3 linked regions of the Drosophila melanogaster genome follow. The protein of the gene in region 3 interacts with the protein of the main gene of each other region in a pairwise test. Each region holds a gene or a part of one and is shown on either strand. Other genes may lie near its edges.

Region 1 (5,266 bases), on a different chromosome or scaffold from region 3:
AAAGCAGCGCATCTACATAGAACTGTTGCGTGAGGATGAATCAAAGATTCGAAAATTCGGACATGATGTTTTTGTGTCACGTCTAACGATAGTTAATGCCCGTAAGAGCGATGAGGGCGTCTATACCTGTCTGGCGGAAAATCCCGGTGGCAAGGATTCGGTTCACATAAGTGTGGTGGTGCAAAAGGATATGGAAAGGATTTCCCTCATCGACAGCAACTTCTTTGCAATAGTCTGCCTTATAGCCATGGGTTTTCTCAGCATGTCGATTCTATTTTCGTTGGTAACATGCCTAATATTTAAGAGATTCAAGCAGTTCCATCCCGGCCAGCACACTTATTTGCAACCCACTAGTTTGCCCGTTCAGTCACCTGGCAGTGAAGAAGCCACCGCCATCAGCGCCCTAAGTTCTGGAGTTATAAGGGAAAGTAAAATAGTGCTGGATCCATTAAGTGCTATCAATGAACCATCAAATAAAAATTACACTTTATTTAAAACATCCAATTCGAATGGCAGCGAGTATATGCACACGAGAAATTATAAAGACGTGAGATTAAACAGCAACACATATACTGAAAATCTAGACAATCAGGCGGAATCCATTTCATCGCGGAATCGGGAGCTCTATTCAAATATAGCTGGTGACCGGGAAAAGGAAGAGCTCAAACAGAAAGGCAATAAAATGCCAAATAAAATTAGTGCTCAAATTTTAACTTATTCTTGTTTTTCTCCTACTTAGATGAGCTCGATAAGGATTCCCGGCAGAGTTCCTTGCAATCAACAGGCTGCTCAAGAAAGAAGGGACAAATCGATGAACTCCAACCGGACCTTTTGCCTTCCACTCAACCTACTGCCTTAAAAAATATTAATGAAACTTTCGGTCCATCAGCGAAAAAAGCAGAAGTTAATCCCCGAAGCAAGTACAATACCAATGTGCAAAAGTACCTAAAGGAGAAGTACGGCAGTGTTAGAATAAAGAATATCAGTACTAAAGAACCCATTACTGGTGTTGATATCTCAATATAATATATTAATGTTTTATAATATGGCATTTCCCACCATACACAGCTGCGAATCCACCGTAAACCCCATGCCATTGAAATTTTAGTCTTTGCCAGGATTTCAATTCATATCCAGCCCTACCTCTCTAAGACCTCCAGGAGATAGATGGACAAAGGAGATCCAGTCAAGAAGAAATATACCTCGCCTTATTTCTGGTAGTAAATTATGTATTTTAAAACGTTACTAATATATAAAAATATTTATTTACACAGTTCTAAGTGTTTTAACCCACGCACTTTAAGTGAAAGGAATGTAATAATAAAGTTTTAAGTGATGCCTTTAAATGAAAAATGTGTAGCTTACTTGAATTAATCTTATATTATCATCGAATTCTAAAAAGCATTTTTAGTAAATCGTTTGATTTTATTTACCTGACCCACTTTTACCGTACTCTACGTTCTATCATCCCTGACCTACCCCGAATTCATTCTTGTGTGTGCTACAATTCCCAACTGCTTCTGGCCGTTTGCTCATGGAGACCCTTTTCGTTTTCCGTTTCAAGTTATCGCTTCTCGGCCTTATGGCTAAGATCAAAGTGTAGTATCTGTTCTTATCAGCTTAACATCTGATAGTTCCTCCATTGGAGGACAACAAATGTTAAACTGATTTTTGGAATCAGACGGAGTGCTAGGGGCTTGCTCCACCTCTGTCGCGGGTTGGCCCGGTATTGCAGTACCGCCGGGATTTCGGCCCAACTGAATAATAAATATTTAACTATTATAAAATCAAAAGGATCTACTTGTCAACACAGTAGACTTTCAAAAGTTGCTAGTATCTGTCTATCTGTCTAGTTTCTTATCAAAATTATGTCGTTTTGGCAAGCCTGATTACCTACCACAATGACTGCGCCATTTACCTCGCGTACCAACCAGGCCGCCGATTCCGGCAAAGATCAATCTCCCATCCATGGATTGAGCCGGAATCGAAAGCGTCAGGAGAGGCGAAAGCAGCGCCTGCAGGAAATGCAAGATTTGCTGTACACGAAACACTTTTCCAACTACAGACTGCCGGCATCGGTGGCCGCGCCAGCTCCCGAGGATCAGCTGCTCCTCAAACTGCAGAACTTCGAATCGCTGACCGAGCAGCCGTCCAGCAGCAGGAAGAGCACTGCGACCACATCTAGCGATTCGCCGTGGAGCCGACTGCGCCTGGTGGCATGCCCATGTCACGGATGCCTATGCTCGGTTGACCCCAGCGCTCTGTTGGGTCACTATTTGAGTGACCATCTGCCGGGAATGGGAGTTCCGTTTTATGAACTGGAAATGGGCAAGCGAGTGTCACTAACATGTCATATTAGTAGCCTGGAAAGAGATGTCAACACCCTGCTGGGGGTCTATGGCTATCGGCGCACTGGCCTTAATCCTCTGAAATGTCACCGAAACACCCATCTGCCAGTGGAGTACCGCCGCTTCTCGCAGCATAGCGCCCTTATGATCTTCGCCTGCCGCACCATGCACTCGGTGCTGTGGGAAAGGAAGCGTGTCAAACACGAAGTCCTGGCCATCTGGGTGGCTACTCCTTTGCACGGCGTGGCCATCACTCTGCGCCTGCTGGTCCAACCTGCCAACCTGCCACGTTACTACACCAGACAGATAAAAGCTCGTCCAATGCTGCCACTGTCGTCGAACCAATCCTGCAGTGAGTTCATCAAGACCGACAGCAACGTGATCCTCATCAGCTTGAATGACCTCCGGCCACTAATGGATTTAGATGTTTGGCAGCAATCGCTAACCGTCGAACTGAAAGTGATTAGCGAGGCAAGTATATAAAACTTCCGGTTTTTTTTTTTTTTGGAATTCGCAATATTTTTGGCCATGTATTTAAGTCTAAGATTAAACAAGGAAACATAAAACTTGAACTCGCACTTACTATATGCATTAATAAATTAGGACAAAGTATCAGAGATTACATTTGATAAAAGCAGCTACTTCCTGATCCAGGCATCCTACTTCCGTTGCTGAATATATATACATACAAGTCGTACAAGGCTTTTCAATTCGGCAACAGTTTGGATAACATGCTATTCGTACAATTTTGTTGTTCCTCACACTTACATCGTACTTTAAAGGGAATTTACAAATTTTGAGCTTACATACATAAAATTTAGATTTTAAATATTCTACGTTAATGTGTTAGAAATATATAATTATGTGTATAACCTTATATCATTAAGGCGCATGTGCAGATATTCTAAAATTGTACTAGAAATCGAGAGAGCGGTGCGCTGAATCCTCAGGCAGCGTCGCTTCGCTTTTTACGCAACAAAAAATTAAAGCGCCATCATCAGGGGACGACATACTAAACAAGACAAACTAAATAAAACAAACTAAAAGAACGCAACTAGAAAATAAAAAACATCCGTCTAGTGTGAGAGGTCGGAATCTGGTTCCGGCTAGCCGGCCTTTTGGGTCTGTTTTTGGCGTTGAAGTGCCTCAAAGGCTTCGATTTCCTTCTTTTCTTTGGCCTGATTGCGACGCTCATATTCCAGTCGGTGCGAGATGATGCGCTCCACGATGCGCTCCGTGGTCATCTCGTTGCCGGAATCGATCAGCTCAAAGATGGCTCGCGTCTTGGGAACGGCATATGGATCGATCTTGCCATTCTCAAGCGCAATGGGTGTGCGTCCATGACAGACAACATCGATTTTGAAGTGCTCAAGCAGCTCTTCAGTGACACAGTAGGGAGCTCCGATTACTACCTCATTGACAAACTGGGGGAAAAAAGAAGTTTTAAAATGAGATAATATTTAAAAAAAAGAATCTATTGCAATCCTACCTTGCAGGCCAAAACACTGAGCACGCGCTCGTGCAGATTCATAATGGGATAGTTGCTGCCCTTGTAGGAGTTCACCACGGGATCTGTGTGCAGGCCAACAATCAGATAGTCACCCAGTTTCTTAGCCTTTTCCAGAAAGTCCAGGTGACCCACATGGAAGAGATCGAAGGCGCCAGCCACATAAACCTGCAAATACCGACAATTATGAATTATACATTATATACATATAATGAGGGCTAAACTTACAATCTTATCGCCGGGATTCGGTGACTTTCCATCACTGAACTGTATGATCTTTTGGGTAGTCGGCAAGAACTGACTACAACCGGTCCACGGACTTTTGGCTGCCGAATCTTGACCCATGTTCGAAGAACCTGGATGGGATTTTATTTGTCGTTTTAAAATTGACACTTTTTTTGTTTGTTTTGTATTGTAAAGCAACGCAGACAAATGAGCAAAAGTGTGTATTTAAGAGCAAAAATTTACGTTTAGGATTTGATTTCGATTTGGATTCGGATTTGGATATTTTGATTGCAGGTTGGTCATTGGGCATTCGGCATTTGGATTCATTTCGCGGGCGCGCACACGCACAAAACATTTAGCATAGTTTTCATAGGTTTCATACATTATATTATATTTTTGATAGTGGTTAACAGTGCGTACATAGAAATAAAAAGAAGAGAAATAGTAAAGTTGTAGAGGGCAACCATAAACCAAGGCGTTATTTGCGTTCAACTATGGCAAATTAAAAAGAATCTATTGGGGAAAATGCATAAACTAATCGTGCGTAGCCCATGTATAAACTGAATATATCTGTATAATATTGTTCATACTTGTAACTGATTGATCGACTTTGATTTATGCACAGCATGCAAGAGCAATAAACAAGTTCGACAGCAGGAAATGAAAGACAAAAAGAGTGCAAACAAAAAGTAGTCTTAAAATTAAAGTTAGTAATGGTTAGAAACAATGAATTTGGCGCACAAATTCACAGTGCTCGCTGTGATTTAGGAACATTAAAATGAAAATAAAATGTGCCAGAAAAGCGTTGGAACAAGCTAAAGCTACCTTCTTTCTCGATATCATATTCCGCGGATCCTTGACGGAAGTGGTTGCGTGTCAGGAGCAACATGCGGCCCACAAGGTCAGTGGTCGAGACTCCAGCTGTGCGTTTCACTTCCCTGCGGATTGCATAAGAAAATTTAAGGTCAGTAATTGGAAAAATGTGCAGTACGTGCTTTACAAGACAACTGGCAGCTTATTAAAGGTTAAGGCAAGATGTACATAAGGTAAGTGTGTGTGCATTCCCTTTTTAATAAACTGCCACATGTCTTAAAAATATATCTTTTCAAACTCACTTGTAGCGATTGGCTGATTTGACCAAATGATATGTGTCCACTCCTTCGGCTGTCATTGTAATGTCATCTGC
Region 2 (6,239 bases), on a different chromosome or scaffold from region 3:
GCTCGCCCAAAAGACTTGGCTCGGATGCACTGACTGTAATAAAACTTACACATAACAACAGAAATTTGTACAGTAGCCGCGTCGTCGAGCCAAGTAAATGTGCTCCAGAGCCAGAATCAGTAATAGTTGATAATTCGGTTAAGCCCCTACAGCAATCTTTATATATTTATTCAAACTATAAGGCTAATTCAGTAATTAGTCGCTGTACCGTAGACTCGATAGCCAATCATTCACTGGTTGGTTCCCTGAGTACATCGAATACTTTTGCTGATTCTGAGGGACACAGAAAGGAATACAATCAGGAAAACTGCAATTTTTCTAAGAACTTGGTCGCACTCACAGACTGGTACGCTCATTCGGCTAATTCGAAAAAAAGCACTACAAATCAGACTACTGAGAGTAGTACGTTTGATGCGATTTCCGCGGCTCCGCCTTTCAATGGCACTGGGCGTATAATTTCCATTGATTTAACTTCTTAGACATTTTAATCCATAGTTAAGTTAAGAAATTGTTATTTTACAAGAAAACCTAAACTAAGAATTACCATATATGAATAAATAATTTGTTTAAATACTTTTATATATAATGTCTAAATTCATTTTCTCTGCGTTTTAAAGAAAAGACATACTGTAGAGGAACCCTACTGTTTTGGGATCTCTATTACCACGTATAGATGGTAATCAGCATATTTTCCATCCGTTTTCTTCATAGTTCGAAGCGTTAATCGATGATCTGGTTGTTTGAAAGCATCGACATAAAGTACACGTAAATAGTACATGACCTTCAAAAGCTTATTTTTTTTGGTTATGAGTCACATCATAATTTTATTACGTCATTAAAGAAAGAGAGGGGACGTCAGGGTTAATACAAAGTAGCATTAATCCCATGATTGATACTTGAACCAGTCTTTTCGGTATGTACCTCAACCCAACGTGGGCTTGGCCCTTTGTAGAGTTAACCATCACCCCGCCTATTTTAGGCGATTCAGCTGTACGCGTCAGCTGCTTTTGGTTTGGCATATCTAGTTTTATATCGCATTTTCCATTCATTCCGATGGGATGAAGAATTTGATATAATTTAGACCATCCCAGATGTTTCTTTCCCACACTGTTCCACTCGATGCATTCTCACTGAAAACGTCTTTCAAAGAATACCACAGTAGTCCAATTTATGTAAGCCAAAACATATGAAAGACAACATTTTAAATGTTTATTTTATCATCATATGAAATTTCTCGGTCGCAAACGAAAATATAAATGTTTTCCACCGGAATAGAAAAATATCGGTGATCACAGCGATTATCCATATATAAAATGAATAAAATGGATGGATAAATGTCTTATAAATTTGGTATTCTTTTAACTTAAATACATAGGTAAATATAAAAATTTATTTTATTGCTTATCTTATTCAACCTCAATATAAATAGAAAAAAGCCAAGACATCATCACTGACTGCGATATTATACAGCCAAATAACTGAATTGACCGATTAAAATGTGGAAGTGTACACGGTGCACCCTGTATAATCGCGGATTGCTTGCTTTCATATCTATGAATTAGTTTGGTATGTAAAGTCGTATACAAGAAATGGTGTTTGAAACCAAAGCGATTTTACTGTTCCTCATGGTGTTGTCAAAGAAATTTTCGCTTTTAAATAATTAATTGATGAGTGTGTAAGTGAATATTGTGTTTATTGTTTACAAAAACCCCGTTTAGTCGAGTGATTAAGTGAAACAAATACCAGCATATATATGTACACAAAATTTCGCTCAAATGTGCCACTGACAGCAAATCAGTATTTCTGTACATAAACGTCAAGTTTGCCAGTTTGAAGTTTTAGTTCGCCGTAATGAACAGTGCAAATTACAAACATTAAATATTGATTAATCTATCGGCGTAAGACCGCAGTTTGATACACACATATATGTACGTACATTGCAAGCGTTCGCTGCGAGTGTGTGTATGTATGTATGGTCATTTGGGTGTTTTACTTATGTACATATGTACGTACGTGCGTATATAATCAATTTGTATGTAATGACAGCTGTGCAGAATGCAATGATTCAAAAATAATTTCAAATTGGATCGCTTTCGAAAATCCAAAAGTCATTTATTTTGCTGATTGCCTGTCGCTATTTTTGCATCCGCAATCGGCGAGAAATGGCGTGAATAGCACGTTCTGTCATCGATTGATAAAATAAATATTTTATTACCTTCTAGTGAAAATTCTGGATGGTAGTTTGAATTTTTTTTCAAAATCGGCGTAATTGTACTAAAAGAGATGCATTTATATTTTTCCTTACTAAGCTTAACATTTATCTGTAAGCCCACTGCTCCTTAAAAAATAATTGATTATTTTAAACCTATTTTAGATATTTTATGTGGTTTATGCGTTGAGTTTATGGTAGAAACACGGCAATTATGGAGTTCCACGACTAGGCTTCATTTTTGCACATGTTAAAAGGTGATTTTATTAATATATTTAACACATTTCCCTCTATCAATACATGTTTCTGTACTTTTCAGGTTTAAACCATAAACAGGACCCATATGCCTTCTACGACTTAAGTCATCAACATTATTTGCAATGAATGCAACGTTCCATTCATACAGAGACATACTAGCGGCACATCACCAAGACTCATCTAGTCCTGAGAACTTCGCCCCCATAGTAATTGACTATAGAAACTCAAACCACACAAAGGACACTGTGGAGACCAACTCGAATATCTCATCGTCTCAGCTATCGTTCATGGACGAATCTTCAAACGATTTCAATAATCAGCAGTTAATTCATTCCAACTCCCTTATTAAAGTGTGTGGTGGTTGTGGAGGTAAGTTCCTTGAATCGATTCATCTATGAGCTACAATAACTTAACTCACGTTTTCTCTGTTTCGCTTGCAGATAAAATAAGTGATAGATATCTTTTATACGCTTTGGACAGATACTGGCACAATGGCTGCCTTAAATGTCACTGCTGTGGAGCTATGCTAGCAGAAGTGGGTTCCAGCTGTTTTACGAGGCGAGGCCTGATTCTTTGCAAAAAGGACTATTCCAGGTACGCACGCATTCGACTGAAAAGATTATTTCAGCTTCCTTAAAAACATGTTGCCTACTTAATGGCGTCAACCATTTAGATACTCTTTAGATTATGTTCCTTGTGTTCAAGTTCACATTTATTTTCCAGCATGTTCGGGTGCTCCGGAGTTTGTTCTGGCTGCGGAGAAACTATACCGCCAAGTGAACTGGTAGCGAAAGCACTTACTGGAATAAATAATATCGATTTACAAAATCAACAAAAACAAATAATTAATTGCGTATTTCATCTAAGGTGCTTTAGTTGTGCTAAGTGTGGATCCAGTCTGCGTCCTGGTGATAGGTATGCCTAACAACACACTGCAGTGAAGAGCGAATTTGAAATGGAATTGCTTTTTCTTTTTGCAGGTATACTATGTTAGGAGCTAGCTTGGTGTGTGAACAAGATTGGCACAAATTACTTAAGGGCCCCGCCAACTCGAATGGAACGCTTGGACAAAGGAAAGGAAAGGTCGGTAGGCCCAGAAGATCAAAGGACTAATCAAACTTAATGTCACATAAAATATACATATATTTTAGAACATAGTTCATATTTTTAAATTACCTATAAAAATGTAATTAAATCATAATATAAAACAAGACCTTCATTTAGGTGAGTTCGATTGGGAATTACACGTGCAACTATGCATAAAAACGAATGGATAATCTTAAATCATTGAAAAATGAAATAAATTCGAAAACAATGACATAAACTAATATCGAATGACAGTAAAATTGATAGATGTTTTAATTAATTAAGACCCAAAAGGGACATCAGTCTTGTCTTAAAGAGCTTCAAGTAAACAAAATCCACAACAATTCAATTAATCTTTTTATTATGATCTAAAACATTTTCCCAGATATCTTCACAAGAATCAATAACAGTTTGCGGCGAGGACAGTTTGTGCTTCATGAAAAAGCCTTGAATTTGCGCCGGACTAGCGGAGCGTCCAAAGGAATTCACTCGTTTTCCGAACTCCTCGGCTTTTGTGGTGTCACTGCTGGCGAAGAAGTTCTTGAACATCTCCTCCAACTGATATTGCGTACAATAGCCAATGTATTCCTTTAAATCGATTCTACCAGGACGAACTAAGGCGGGATCGAGGCGGTCAATGTAGTTTGTTGTCATGAAGACAATTCTGGCCTCCGTGGAGCCCACACCGTCCAAGCAATTTAGGAGTCCACTGAACGTTATCCTGTTGAGACCGTCAAAGGCGGATTTCTGCTGCGGAGTAGCTTCGCGCGAGACGAATGCTGCGTCGATGTCCTCCAGCAGAATGATACTCTGCTCTGGCGCAACATTCAGGAGATGATTGAGTCGATCATCGGTGAGGCCTCTTTCGGATAGGTTTAGCAGGCAGACACTGTACTCCAGTTCGCCCGCCAGGGCGGTTATAAAGCTAGACTTGCCACAACCAGGTGGCCCGTACAGAAGGTAGCCTCTTCGGTAGGGGATTCCACGTTGCGTATACCACAGAGAGCTCTTAATGAAGTCCTGGCAGTCGGCAATGATTCGCTGCGAAGTTCCGCGATCCAGCACCACCGATCCAGTGGGACGCCTTCTGCGCGGATGTCCGAAGGGTCTCCATTCCGCACCCATCGCTGTGTACAGCACGGTTTTGCCCTCTGTGGCCTCCAGAGCCAGCTGCCTAGCCTCTTCGAGGATATCGAAATATATACCTTTATTGTTACCAAACGCTGTAAGCGTCACTGTCTCCCAAGGAACACCCATGTGAAGGTCCAATGTCTGTTGTTCCCTGGTCCGCTCCACCTGAATCCAATTGCCCTTGTACTGGAACAGATGCTTGCCTATGCTGGGTATGAAGTCATAGCTGGTTTTGATTGTGCCATTGTCGTTCTGCACAAAGTTTGTCTCCACGCTCAAGTGTTGCGTTTTTCGCGCTCCTCTGATCGTAATCCATTTTAACAGCCACTGATAGGATTTGTCCCGACACGGCACCTCCAGGGTAATCATGCAGTGCCGCCGGAACAGTATCACTCCGCCCTGGAGGCCCTTGCGCAATATGGCAGCAGCGGCGCCCACACCAAATAGTCCAAAACCGGCACCAAAGTAGGGATTTGACGAAAGTCCAGCTACAAGATCGGGCAAAGTCATCTTGTCTGCAAAAACCGAGAACAAGGATCAACGTTTAATTAAAGTGTTTTACTCTTTTTCGGCAATAAAACCCTATAAAACAACACCTGTTGCTTAATCTATCATCCAAAACATGGGTTCCTCCTGTAAACAATGGTACATCTTTTCGAAGCAACTTTTTAAACAAATAAAACTGAAGTCTAACATATACTGTTTACGTGCGCTTCAGCAAAGGCACCAACAATTTTATTTTCTCATGAGAAAACCATGTAATTTTATTATTTAAATCAACCATTTGCCATCACTCTCGTTATGTAATTAATTGTAATTTAGGTGTGAGCAAATAAATATACAAGTTGCCGCTGAAGTGGCACATTTTATTTGGCATAAAAACCATCTTAGAGGATAACTTGTCATTCACTAAAAGCAATCAACATTTTTTTATAGTAGAAATGTTTCAATACCGGCATTGATAAATATTTTTAATCCAACAGTGTGACCGAACTGTGAAATCGGAAAAATGCAAATAAGTTGGGAAAACTTATATCGAAAAACCAATATTTAATAAATACTATAAATAAATAATAAATGAAGGTTTAAAATTAAAATCAAAAAATTTTACCCATAACATTGATTTTTTGTATTCATTTATTCAGTTTGTTCCGTTTTAGGATCTATGCAAATGCATGAACAATTTTATTGTATCCTTGAATCTTACATTTTTAATGGTTAAGATGCTTTCATAGCCCTATAAATGCCTATGGACGCTGCTCGGTTGCAACCAGGACTTCTGGGTCGCGTGGTCCGGCTGCTGGTTCCTCTGGGGGGGATGGGCGATCATCGTCATCGTCGTTCCTGGGCGTATCATTGTCATTCTCTTTGGCAATCGCCACATGCTTGGCGCTGTCTTTATTAGAGAGAATTGTGAATGGCTGGTCTTTGCCGACGATGGCCACAGTGATGTCCTGCAAGAAAAACACAATTTACTAACTATTCGCGACGGGAAATGTGCAATGAACTTACATACTGACCGGCATCTTTGCCTTGCTCATCCGTAGGCAGGGTA
Region 3 (9,157 bases):
TTTAGTTAAAAAATGATGTGCGAGTGCCGAGTTCAATTGTCATTTCTGAGATTGGGATAGCAGCACCATTGATAACATGTGCATTATCTGGATGGATATCAGTTAATCCAGACCATTGCGGTCTTTCTTTCTGATAGCAACTGCCTCGAGATATTAGACCAATATAAATTCCTTGACGTGCCAAAACTAGACAGCATCAATCCTTATCAGGGAATTTTGTTATATATTTTACATTTTTCCCCCTTAGTATTGAAAGAGGTTGTTTATATGAAATCATATATATATTCGCAATTATTTTTACAGAACAGTGTACAATTATTATCGGAAATGCTTCTGTCTAAATGAAACGCAGTAATTGAAATACCAGTAAATTATATTTTGTAGGAATCTACAATAATCAAGTACAAAGAGGAGGAAATACACTAGGGAAAGATAAACAATTACTTATTGTAGGCAATGTAGCTTATTTCAAGACCACGTCGTGATCAAATTGCAAGTGGTGTTCGAGCTCCTTCTTGTTCTCGAAGTTGGTATTGCAAATGAGACAGAAGCCGCTGTTCTCATCGTTGTCGGACATGATGACGGTGACGGCCGCCTCCGATTCGTCGACGTCCACATGCAGCTCCTCCACCACCTGCTGCTCGTCGGCGGGCGCCTCCTCGCGAACCCCGTAAACGACGTCGCCCTCGTGGGTCTTCATGTGCATCTTGAGGGTGTAGCGCTCGGTGAAGGACTTGGGGCAGACGGAGCAGTAGTGTCTTGGGCGGTTCTCCTTGTGAATGAGCGTGTGATGGTTGAAGGTCTTGCGCGACTTGAACGACACATTGCAGATGCTGCATATGATGGGGTTCTCCTCAGCCTCGTGGCGCAGCCGGTGGTTGTAGAGTAGGTTGTCCTGGGAGAACCTCAGGCCGCACTTCTCGCACTGGTACTTCTTCTTGTCCCAGTGCATGCGCATGTGGCGCAGGGTGTTCACCGGGCGCGAGAAGCTCTTGGGGCAGTAGCGGCATTGCTTTTCCGTCTTGCCCTCGTGCAGATTCATGTGCAGCTCCAAGTACTCCTCGTCGCGCCGGATCACCCCGCAGATGGGGCAGATGTGGTTGGGCTGCTTGGAGTGCTCCTCGCTGATGTGCTTCTGCAGTTGATACCAGGAGTTGTACACCTTGCCGCAGGTAGTGCACTCCTGCTTGACGCGCTTCTTCGTCGGCCTGTCCTCGCCATCGGAGGACTTGCCATACAGGGCCTCGGAGTCGCCCACATCCACGTCCTCGCAGATGAACTCGTCGTCGTCGTCGTCGTCCTCCTCCTCCTCCTCGTCCACGAACTCTCTCTTTATCTCCGTGTCGGACTCCTCCTGATCCTTGACCAGCTCCACGAACAGGGCGTCCGCCTCGGCATCGGCGTCTGTCTCGACATCGCTTTGGGGTATCTCCACCTCCTCCACGAGTATGTCCTCGCCGGACTCCGGCACCTCGAACTCGGACTTTAGAGCGCCCTTTAGCTGGGTCGTCAGCCTCTTCTGGGTGGTCATCAGGTTCACCATGATCGTGTCGTAGTCGGAGAGCTCCTGAAAGCAGCGCGGGCACAGCCGGGCGCCGGGCTTCAGGTCCAGCTGCGTCTGGATGCAGTTGGCCAGGTGGGTGAGCACCAGGGACACTGTTTTCTGCGACGACGGCACCTTGGCCGACAGCGTCTCGTAGCGCATGGAGCTGGAGGAGCCCGTGTCGCTCAGATCGACGGCGCCGCAGAAGAAGCAAGTATCCATTGCGCCGACGATGGTCCTTTTAGCGATTCCGTTTCGTGCGGCGTTTGTTTACAATCTTTTAAATTGTGTATGAAATTTAATAGAGTTGGCAAAATGATGAATATCGGAAGCTATACTAAAATGCGTGAAATGCAACCATGGCATAATGCCCACCAGGGCTGGCGAACGATGCCGATTGATGCCAGGAACGGAACGGTGGGAATGGAACAGGGTGTGAAAACTGAAATATATGAGTTGAATAATAAAAATATGTGTTTGCTCAATATTGCAAACGGATATTCAATTTGCATAAATACATAATTTGTTGTTGATTATTATGGTGGTGTTGGTTTCTTTAGTTATGAAAACGAGTAGCATTTAATTTATTGATTCCCTGAAAAAATTGAATTGAATTATATAATTTTTTTATAATGGTATGTTTTAATTGTATTTTATATAAATTATGCGAATGGCTTCAACTTAATGAAGTAATTACATAAGTGTAAAGAACACAATTGACTTAGGTAGCTAATTAGAATCTTTGTAAGGATATGTTTAATCTTAATTAAGCACTTCAAGCCAATGAAGTATTAAAAAAAATCTCATACAGATAAGCCCGCGTATTTAGAATATGGCTCGCCCCACTCAATCTAACCTAAGAATCTCAGTGATTTGGAAACTAATAAGATCGCTTTCGCTGTGTCCGGATTCAGCAAGTGAGTCCTGTGGCCCGAAAACTGAGCAATTTCCGGTTTGTTTTACAAAGGATCGATGCCGTTTGCCAAAGGATCGACTGCTCCGCACAAAAGTTCGGGTTGCACTTGAGGGCACTTGAGCTTCGGAAGCAACTGAGGAATCGGGCTCCAGATTATCCCTGCATATCAAGTCCCTCAGCTTGGCCAGCACGGAGTACAGTATCTTAAGGCGCTTCACGATGCGCTTGGGATCCACTGGGACGTCCAGGTTGACCACGGCCTGGCACTCGCGCAGGATCAGAATGAGGTCCTTGTGCACCCGCTTGCCATCTTCACTGAGTCCCGAGTAATTGACGGGCAGCCGAAAGTGATCCACCACCACTCCGCCCCTCTGGACAATCAGCTTCAGATGGCTTTTGTCCTGTACGTGGATCCTCTCGCCCAGCATGTCCAGGTAGTTGTTGATCAGGGAGCAGCTATCGATGATTTCGTGGATGACGTTCCTAAAGATCAGCAGCTCCTGGTTAAAATGCTCCTGCAAGACCTCCGCGTGGTGTGCGGATGAAGTGGACTCTGGCAGCTGGAGAGCGGGCACAATGCACGCATCCAGGGATTCCAGTGAGGCCAGGCAGCTCCTGACAATCGTCTTCGTTTTGATGTCCTGCGAGAAGGCTATGGCCAGAACCCCAATCTGCTGAATGCGATCCATGTTCGTGTCGAATGCGGAGATTAGCTCCTGAGCTCCCGCAGGATCCCTTTGCAGTGCATCCTTTAGCTTCTCCACCGAAGCGTTTTCCAGATCTATCAGACTGACGAACAGCAAGTGCAGCAGCGCCTCATTGAGAAAGGATTCCAGGGCATAGAGGGCACGTTCCAGGGAGAGGGCCTCCAGCTTCCGATGACCACTGTTGGGCTCGCCCGCCTCCTCGTGGAAAGTGGCACATTCGGCGAGCAAGGTCTCGCACAAAGCCGTCAAAGCCTTCTTGTCCGAATGAATGGCCACATTGGCAAAGGCCAGGGCGTGGCGAACGATGTGATTAACTATGCTGGCCAGCTGGTAGGTGTCTTCCGTGAAGCTCTCTTCTAGAATGTGCAGCGAGTTGTTTCTCTGCTGGGCCAGCTTCTCCATGTAGTCATCCAAGTGGTCCAGAGCCAGGTCCATGAGCTCAACGAAGGAGTGATCCTCTAGGTTCTTGACTGGGGTCACGTTGCCTTCCAGTTGCGTCAAGGAGACGAGCAGTCGCCGCAAGCACCAGTCCAAGCGGTCGAGGAAGTGCTGCCTGGTCATATGCGGTGCCTCCATGCTGATGGTCCGCTCTAGGTGGGTGATGCAGGTTACCACCTGGGTGAGGCACAGGAAGATGGTCTCCACATCAAGGTTTGCGCCACTGGGCGCCACCTCCGGCAGCCTAGCCTTCAGATCGCTGGCGAAGTCCAGGAAAGTGGCGCAGAACTCGTTCAGCCAGCCAATGTTGCCGGTGCTGCTGTAGCCCTCTGCAATCAGCTCACTGCAAGTGTGTAATTGGGCCAATAGCTGTTCCATGCTGTTCTATCAGATGTGCTCCGGGAAACAGAAATGTTCAACTAAGTTCTGGCGGACGACGCAACACCTTTATATACTTTGCCAAGCGCACAGGTAGAAAGGACCTATTTTGGGGATTAAAAAACATCTGCCTGTTTTATTGCCATACCCGCGAAAATTCGCGAAATCCGCTACTTTACCTACTGGGGTTCCTGGAAAATGGGCGAAGAACGGCAAAGAACTGGTACTTTCCGTCAATAATTGTTTAGATTTAATTTTATGATACATACGCGCGCTAATGCACCCATGAGCTGGGCTTCTTAGATTAATCTAGCAAAGGACTACCCTAAAAGAACGTGACGGTGGCTTCCTTGGCCTCCGCCGACTCTGGCTTCTCGACCGGCTGGTGGACCCGCTTGTGCACCTTCAGGGTGTACTTGTCCACGAACGATTTCTCGCAGTCGGGGCAGGGGTAGCGCGGCCGGTCCGTCTGGTGGGTGCGCAAGTGGTGCTTGTAGGTGCGCTTGGTCTTGAACTGCTGGTGGCACACCTCGCAGATCAGGGCGTTCTCCTCGGCGTCGTGGCGCATCAGATGGTTGTACATCAGCCAGGAGAGCGAGAAGCGTTCGCCGCACTTGTCGCACTGGTACTTCTTCTTGTCCCAGTGCACCTCCATGTGGCGCAGGACGTTCCGCTTGTGCGAGAACTTTTTGTCGCAGTAGCGGCATTCAAGTTCTGTTTTGCCCTCGTGCAAGTTCATATGCAGATCGAGTACCTCGTCGTCCTTCACTTTCAAGCCACACACGTTGCAGGTGGCCTGCTCGCTCTTCTGGCAGGTGTCCGCCTTGATGTGCCGCTCGAGCACCTCCTGGCTGGAAAACATCTCGCCGCAGATATGGCAGGGTATCTCGGTGGTCTCGGTGAAGAACTCCTCCTCCGACGACGGCATGCTGTCGTCCGGCTCGCTGAACTGGAACTCCTCGTCCAGCATCTCCTCCTTCATGAATTCCTCGCACTCATCCTCCTCGCCCGGCTGCCTTTCGGGCTCCTTGAGGGCGGTGGCCTGGACGATCTTGAAGGCCGGCACCTGGACGCGGGCCCTCTTTGCCGCCTGTTGCTTGGTCTCCGCCTTGCCCTCCACCTGCCTGCAGCCGAGCAGTGCGTCCGCAATCTGGCGCTGCACTTGGCTGAGATTCCTCACCAGCCTGTCGTAGTTGAAGAGGTACTCCAGGCAGTCCCGGCAGGCGGCCGAGTTGGGCAGGAGCTCCAGCCGCTGGTTTATGATCTTCTCGAAGTATTTCAGTATATCCTTGATGGGCTTAAAGGTTCCTGGCACAATGCAGCCTGTGAAAAAGTCGGCTATCAGGACTTTCGAGTGCGGCGTAAGCGAACGTTACCTTCTATCAGCTGGAACACCCCCACGGACTTCTCCTTGCCGCAAACGAAGCAAAACGGACGCGTGGAGCTCATCTAGTCGCCGTGGAATCCAATCGAAAATTCGGCTTAAACAATTTAATTTGTGTATATTTTGTTGTGAACGCCAGAGCTGTGCCGATAGTGCCGATAGTATCGACTGCGTGCTGTCGGCGTAATCGATAAATTTGCTGTCACTGATAACAACGTTTTCTTTTTGAGTTTATTAATTATTACTAAAATATACTGAGTAGTACAAAAAACGTTTTCCCAAATGTACTAAAGAAATAACTGAATATTATAATTTTAATAGTATCGATACATAAGGTGAACGAGAATAAAAGTATCTGGTCACATTGCTGGACTAAAGCAGCGTTTTTGGAAAATTTGCCGGTTGGTAAGACATTAAATTCTGTTTTCAAACACTTTTCCACAATGAATCGCCTCCAACTGCTTTCCAAAGGACTACGACTGATTCACAAAATGTCCGAGGAAGCACTTGCCGGCGTGCCACTGGTGCACATCAGTCCAGAGGGCATCTTCAAGTATGTCATGATCAATGTCTTCGATGGAGGAGATGCTTCAAAGGCGGTGATCCGCGGATTTGCGGACTGCACATGGCATGGTAAGTCGGATCCTCATCACCCATCAAGTGCCCACTTAGCTTGGTTACTGTCCCACAGCCGACATCTTCGAGCGCGAGGAGGAGGTCTTTAAAAAACTGGGGCTGCGGGCCGAGTGTCCTGGCGGCGGTCGCATTGAACACAATCCCGAGAAGAAGTACTTGAAGGTCTACGGATACTCGCAGGTGGGTCTATTCCCTTGAGTAAAGGGGTCGCTGGGCAGTGGATGGACTGATGTATCTAACTACTTGAAAAATTTTCTGGAGTTCTAATCAAGTCTTTCTATTTAAGGGCTTTGGAAAAGCTGATCACGCGCAGACCAAACGCATCCTGGCCACCAAATACCCGGACTACACGATCGAAATCTCCGATGAGGGATATTAGCTGCAATCAACGAGAGAAGACTCCACATAAGCACACTGACATGAATTTATACCATTGGCTTTGATCCTGTGTGCCATGATTTTATTGGAAATGGCATTTAAAATTGAGAAATGCTCTGAAAGGCAGTTAGTCTGTAGCTTTGCAACTGCTCGCACTAAACCTTTTCGGATCTAAATTAATCAGTTTGTACACAAATTTCGTTTCTTTTCCTTTGGTTAAATAAAATGAAAATGTTCAAGTCATTGCGTCTGCTTCCTCATATTGTTTCTCCGTTTCGTAAGGCTTAGGAATATTCAATATTAAGATTTACAAGCCCTAATATACTTGGTTTTAGAAAAATGTTACTCAACCGATTTGATAAGTTTGGTAGGCGTTCCCCGGGTCAAGATAACCAAGGGTCAGAATCGTTATTTGTTGGTGAATATTCATACGCATGGCTTCACGAAGTATGGAAGAGTTATTGTCCGTGGCGCCGATGTTGACAATCACTGTGAGTTTCCACTGCTGGACGCTTAACCTTGAGCAGTCTTACAAATCCTTCTTTCAGTGGCGGTCTTCGACTCGATTTTGGAGGAGCTGGAACCCGAGGGCATATGTGCCAAAATCCTCGGTGGTGGAAGGATTCTCAACGAGGCAGAAAATAAAAAAATTAAGATCTATGGCACCTCCAGGGTAAGTAGAGGATCCTTGGTCCTTGAAGCACCGGCTAATGGTTCTTGATGGGTCTCCCTAGACTTTCGGCGGTGCTGATCACACAAGGACAAGGAATATACTTCAAGCGTGGACCACTTATAAGGACTTTAAGATAACCGTTAAACAATAAAGTTGCATAAATTTCGAAAATGGAAATTCAGTACTAATAAAAAGAAAATAGAATATAAAAGTAGCGCTCTTTCAATATTATTAAGGGGTAATCGAACAGGCGATTGTAATTGGCGGAATATGGTTGATATTTCCATTTCTGGAGAGAGTAGAAAGAAGAGTAATTTTGCATTTATAGTTTAGTTCATACAAAAATTTCTTTCACAAGATACAAGGGCTTAGTACTTTTTGAATGATCACATGTGCTCCGATTTTCGTGTCAGTCTTGAATTTAGCATACGACCGGAAGGCTTCTGACAAAATCAGTCTAGCTGGAGCCTTGCTACCGTTCATACCAGTTTCTTTTCGGAATATTTCATCTAAATTCCAGTGCGTTTTCCTAAAATTTTTCCAAAATGAAAACCTTGAATCTTTTGGCACCTGTTTCACAATTGTTGAAGCCCCTTCGAAGGCAAAGTTCTTCGCGCGTAAACGCCCTTTTGATAAATGTTCCTAGAGTTCAGCTTTCTAAAGGCAAGAACAAGTACCTTTTGATGATGATTCACATGCACGGTTTAACTAGGTTCGGCAGGACCATTGTAAGAGGATCCGCCTCCAAGGACCACGGTTAGTTCTAATAATCAGTATAGCTAATACGTGTTCTAATCGTTCTGTCGCCAGAGGAAATCTTTGAGGAAATCCAAAAGGAGATGGACAAAATTGGAATTTGCGCCAAATGCCTGGGTGGAGGGTTCATCAGCAACAAGGAGGACAAGAAAGTAATGAAAATTTACGGGTGCTGCAAGGTAAGTGGATGAAGTTGGCTACGATCAACCTGATTACTAAAGAGACTGCCTGCAGACTTTTGGGGAGGCGCCGCACGGCAGGACGAAGGACATACTGCTGTCTTGGACCAAATTCCAGCATTACAACATCATCTTGCCCAAAAAGAATCTGAACGCGTATCAGTGAAGGCGTTTGAAAGCTTGTTTTATTTTTCCTAACTGCCCTGTTGGCAATTTATAATACAACAAAAAATTAGTAAATACATGGCTACATATCGATTTGTTTTTTCGCTGGGTGTTACAAATTTTCAGCTTTTGATTTTGAGTTTCAGATCTGCTTTGTTGGTTAGCAGCCAAAGTTCAAATTTGGAAATTGAACCAGATCACATCGTCGATAACCGATAGCTGTGCAATCGGAGCCTTCTTCAGGGCACGGTCACACTGCCCCGAAAGTGTAAATAAATTTCAATCAAATATGAATTGCTGCATTTGTCAATTCTCGGTACGCGTACCGAAGGACATTCACACCGATACCGTCGGACATCCGCCGGTGCTGATCAGCGAACTGGTACTGCAGTGCACCCGGGGCACGAATTACGTCCTCACGGAGGAATCGTCGACGATCTGCAAGAAGTGCTGCGAGAAGCTCGCCAGATACCACAAGTCCATACAAATAGCGCGCAAGCTGCGAGGGGAGATCCTGGAACTGATCCACAGTCCCTACATGTCCAAGGACCACAAGCAGACCTCCTACAAAGAGGACGATCTCGACCGAGAGACCACCATAAGCAAATTCGATGGGAATATTGAGGAGGCACAGCAACAGGACGAGGAGGAGCAGGAACTGGAGAGCGTGGGCACCACCGTCACCCTGGTCGGTCCCGCCGGCATCGTGGAGGAAGTGGCCGAAGAGGAGCACACCTTCATTATCAAACAATCAGAGGAGGAGGATGAGTTCCACTCCGTAGACTTAGAGCTAGATATCGACAACGAGATTATCATTAACGAAGAGGAAGCCCACGAGGTAGAGGAGGTGGCCCACGAGATAGAGGAGGTGGCCCACGAGATAGAGGAGGAGGATCTGTTGCCACATGACAAGCAAGAGGCCCAGGAGGAAGACTTTTTTAAGGAAGATACCATGAGTGACTTTGACGAACATCTGGACGGCGCAATAGAGTACATAATATCCG

What was found. The genes of interacting proteins can lie anywhere in the genome.
Region 1: the proteins of Sry-alpha (region 3) and CG15482 interact in a two-hybrid assay, tested with the Drosophila melanogaster proteins (one large-scale study listed by BioGRID).
Region 2: the proteins of Sry-alpha (region 3) and CG5708 interact in a two-hybrid assay, tested with the Drosophila melanogaster proteins (one large-scale study listed by BioGRID).

The regions. Positions count from the first base shown.
Region 1 is NT_033779.5:13,208,417-13,213,682, reverse strand, and holds CG15482 (uncharacterized protein), read left to right. Parts: upstream 1-1,868; 5' UTR 1,869-1,901; coding exon 1,902-2,831; 3' UTR 2,832-2,910; downstream 2,911-5,266. Other genes in the region: kek4 (kekkon 4), read left to right, coding at 1-674, 740-1,026; Pect (phosphoethanolamine cytidylyltransferase), read right to left, coding at 3,455-3,772, 3,838-4,023, 4,084-4,247, 4,906-5,018, 5,196-5,262.
Region 2 is NT_033779.5:10,222,101-10,228,339, reverse strand, and holds CG5708 (uncharacterized protein), read left to right. Parts: upstream 1-1,531; 5' UTR 1,532-1,675; intron 1,676-2,374; 5' UTR 2,375-2,466; intron 2,467-2,528; 5' UTR 2,529-2,589; coding exon 2,590-2,836; intron 2,837-2,907; coding exon 2,908-3,061; intron 3,062-3,190; coding exon 3,191-3,382; intron 3,383-3,447; coding exon 3,448-3,580; 3' UTR 3,581-3,883; downstream 3,884-6,239. Other genes in the region: ova (ovaries absent), read left to right, coding at 1-479; Bcs1 chaperone, read right to left, coding at 3,899-5,194; Prosalpha6 (proteasome alpha6 subunit), read right to left, coding at 5,932-6,138, 6,197-6,239.
Region 3 is NT_033777.3:30,036,087-30,045,243, reverse strand, and holds Sry-alpha (serendipity alpha), read right to left. Parts: upstream 5,526-9,157; 5' UTR 5,432-5,525; coding exon of another isoform or gene 5,359-5,431; intron 5,306-5,358; coding exon of another isoform or gene 4,308-5,305; 5' UTR 3,983-4,307; coding exon 2,390-3,982; 3' UTR 2,173-2,389; downstream 1-2,172. Other genes in the region: Sry-delta (serendipity delta), read right to left, coding at 464-1,765; Sry-beta (serendipity beta), read right to left, coding at 4,308-5,305, 5,359-5,431; janA (janus A), read left to right, coding at 5,810-5,999, 6,058-6,182, 6,289-6,381; janB (janus B), read left to right, coding at 6,606-6,657, 6,716-6,871, 6,929-7,053, 7,115-7,204; ocn (ocnus), read left to right, coding at 7,599-7,809, 7,864-7,988, 8,044-8,154; ZIPIC (Zinc-finger protein interacting with CP190), read left to right, coding at 8,443-9,157. UniProt on the Drosophila melanogaster protein: Required for the cellularization of the syncytial blastoderm embryo. Involved in the localization of the actin filaments just prior to and during plasma membrane invagination.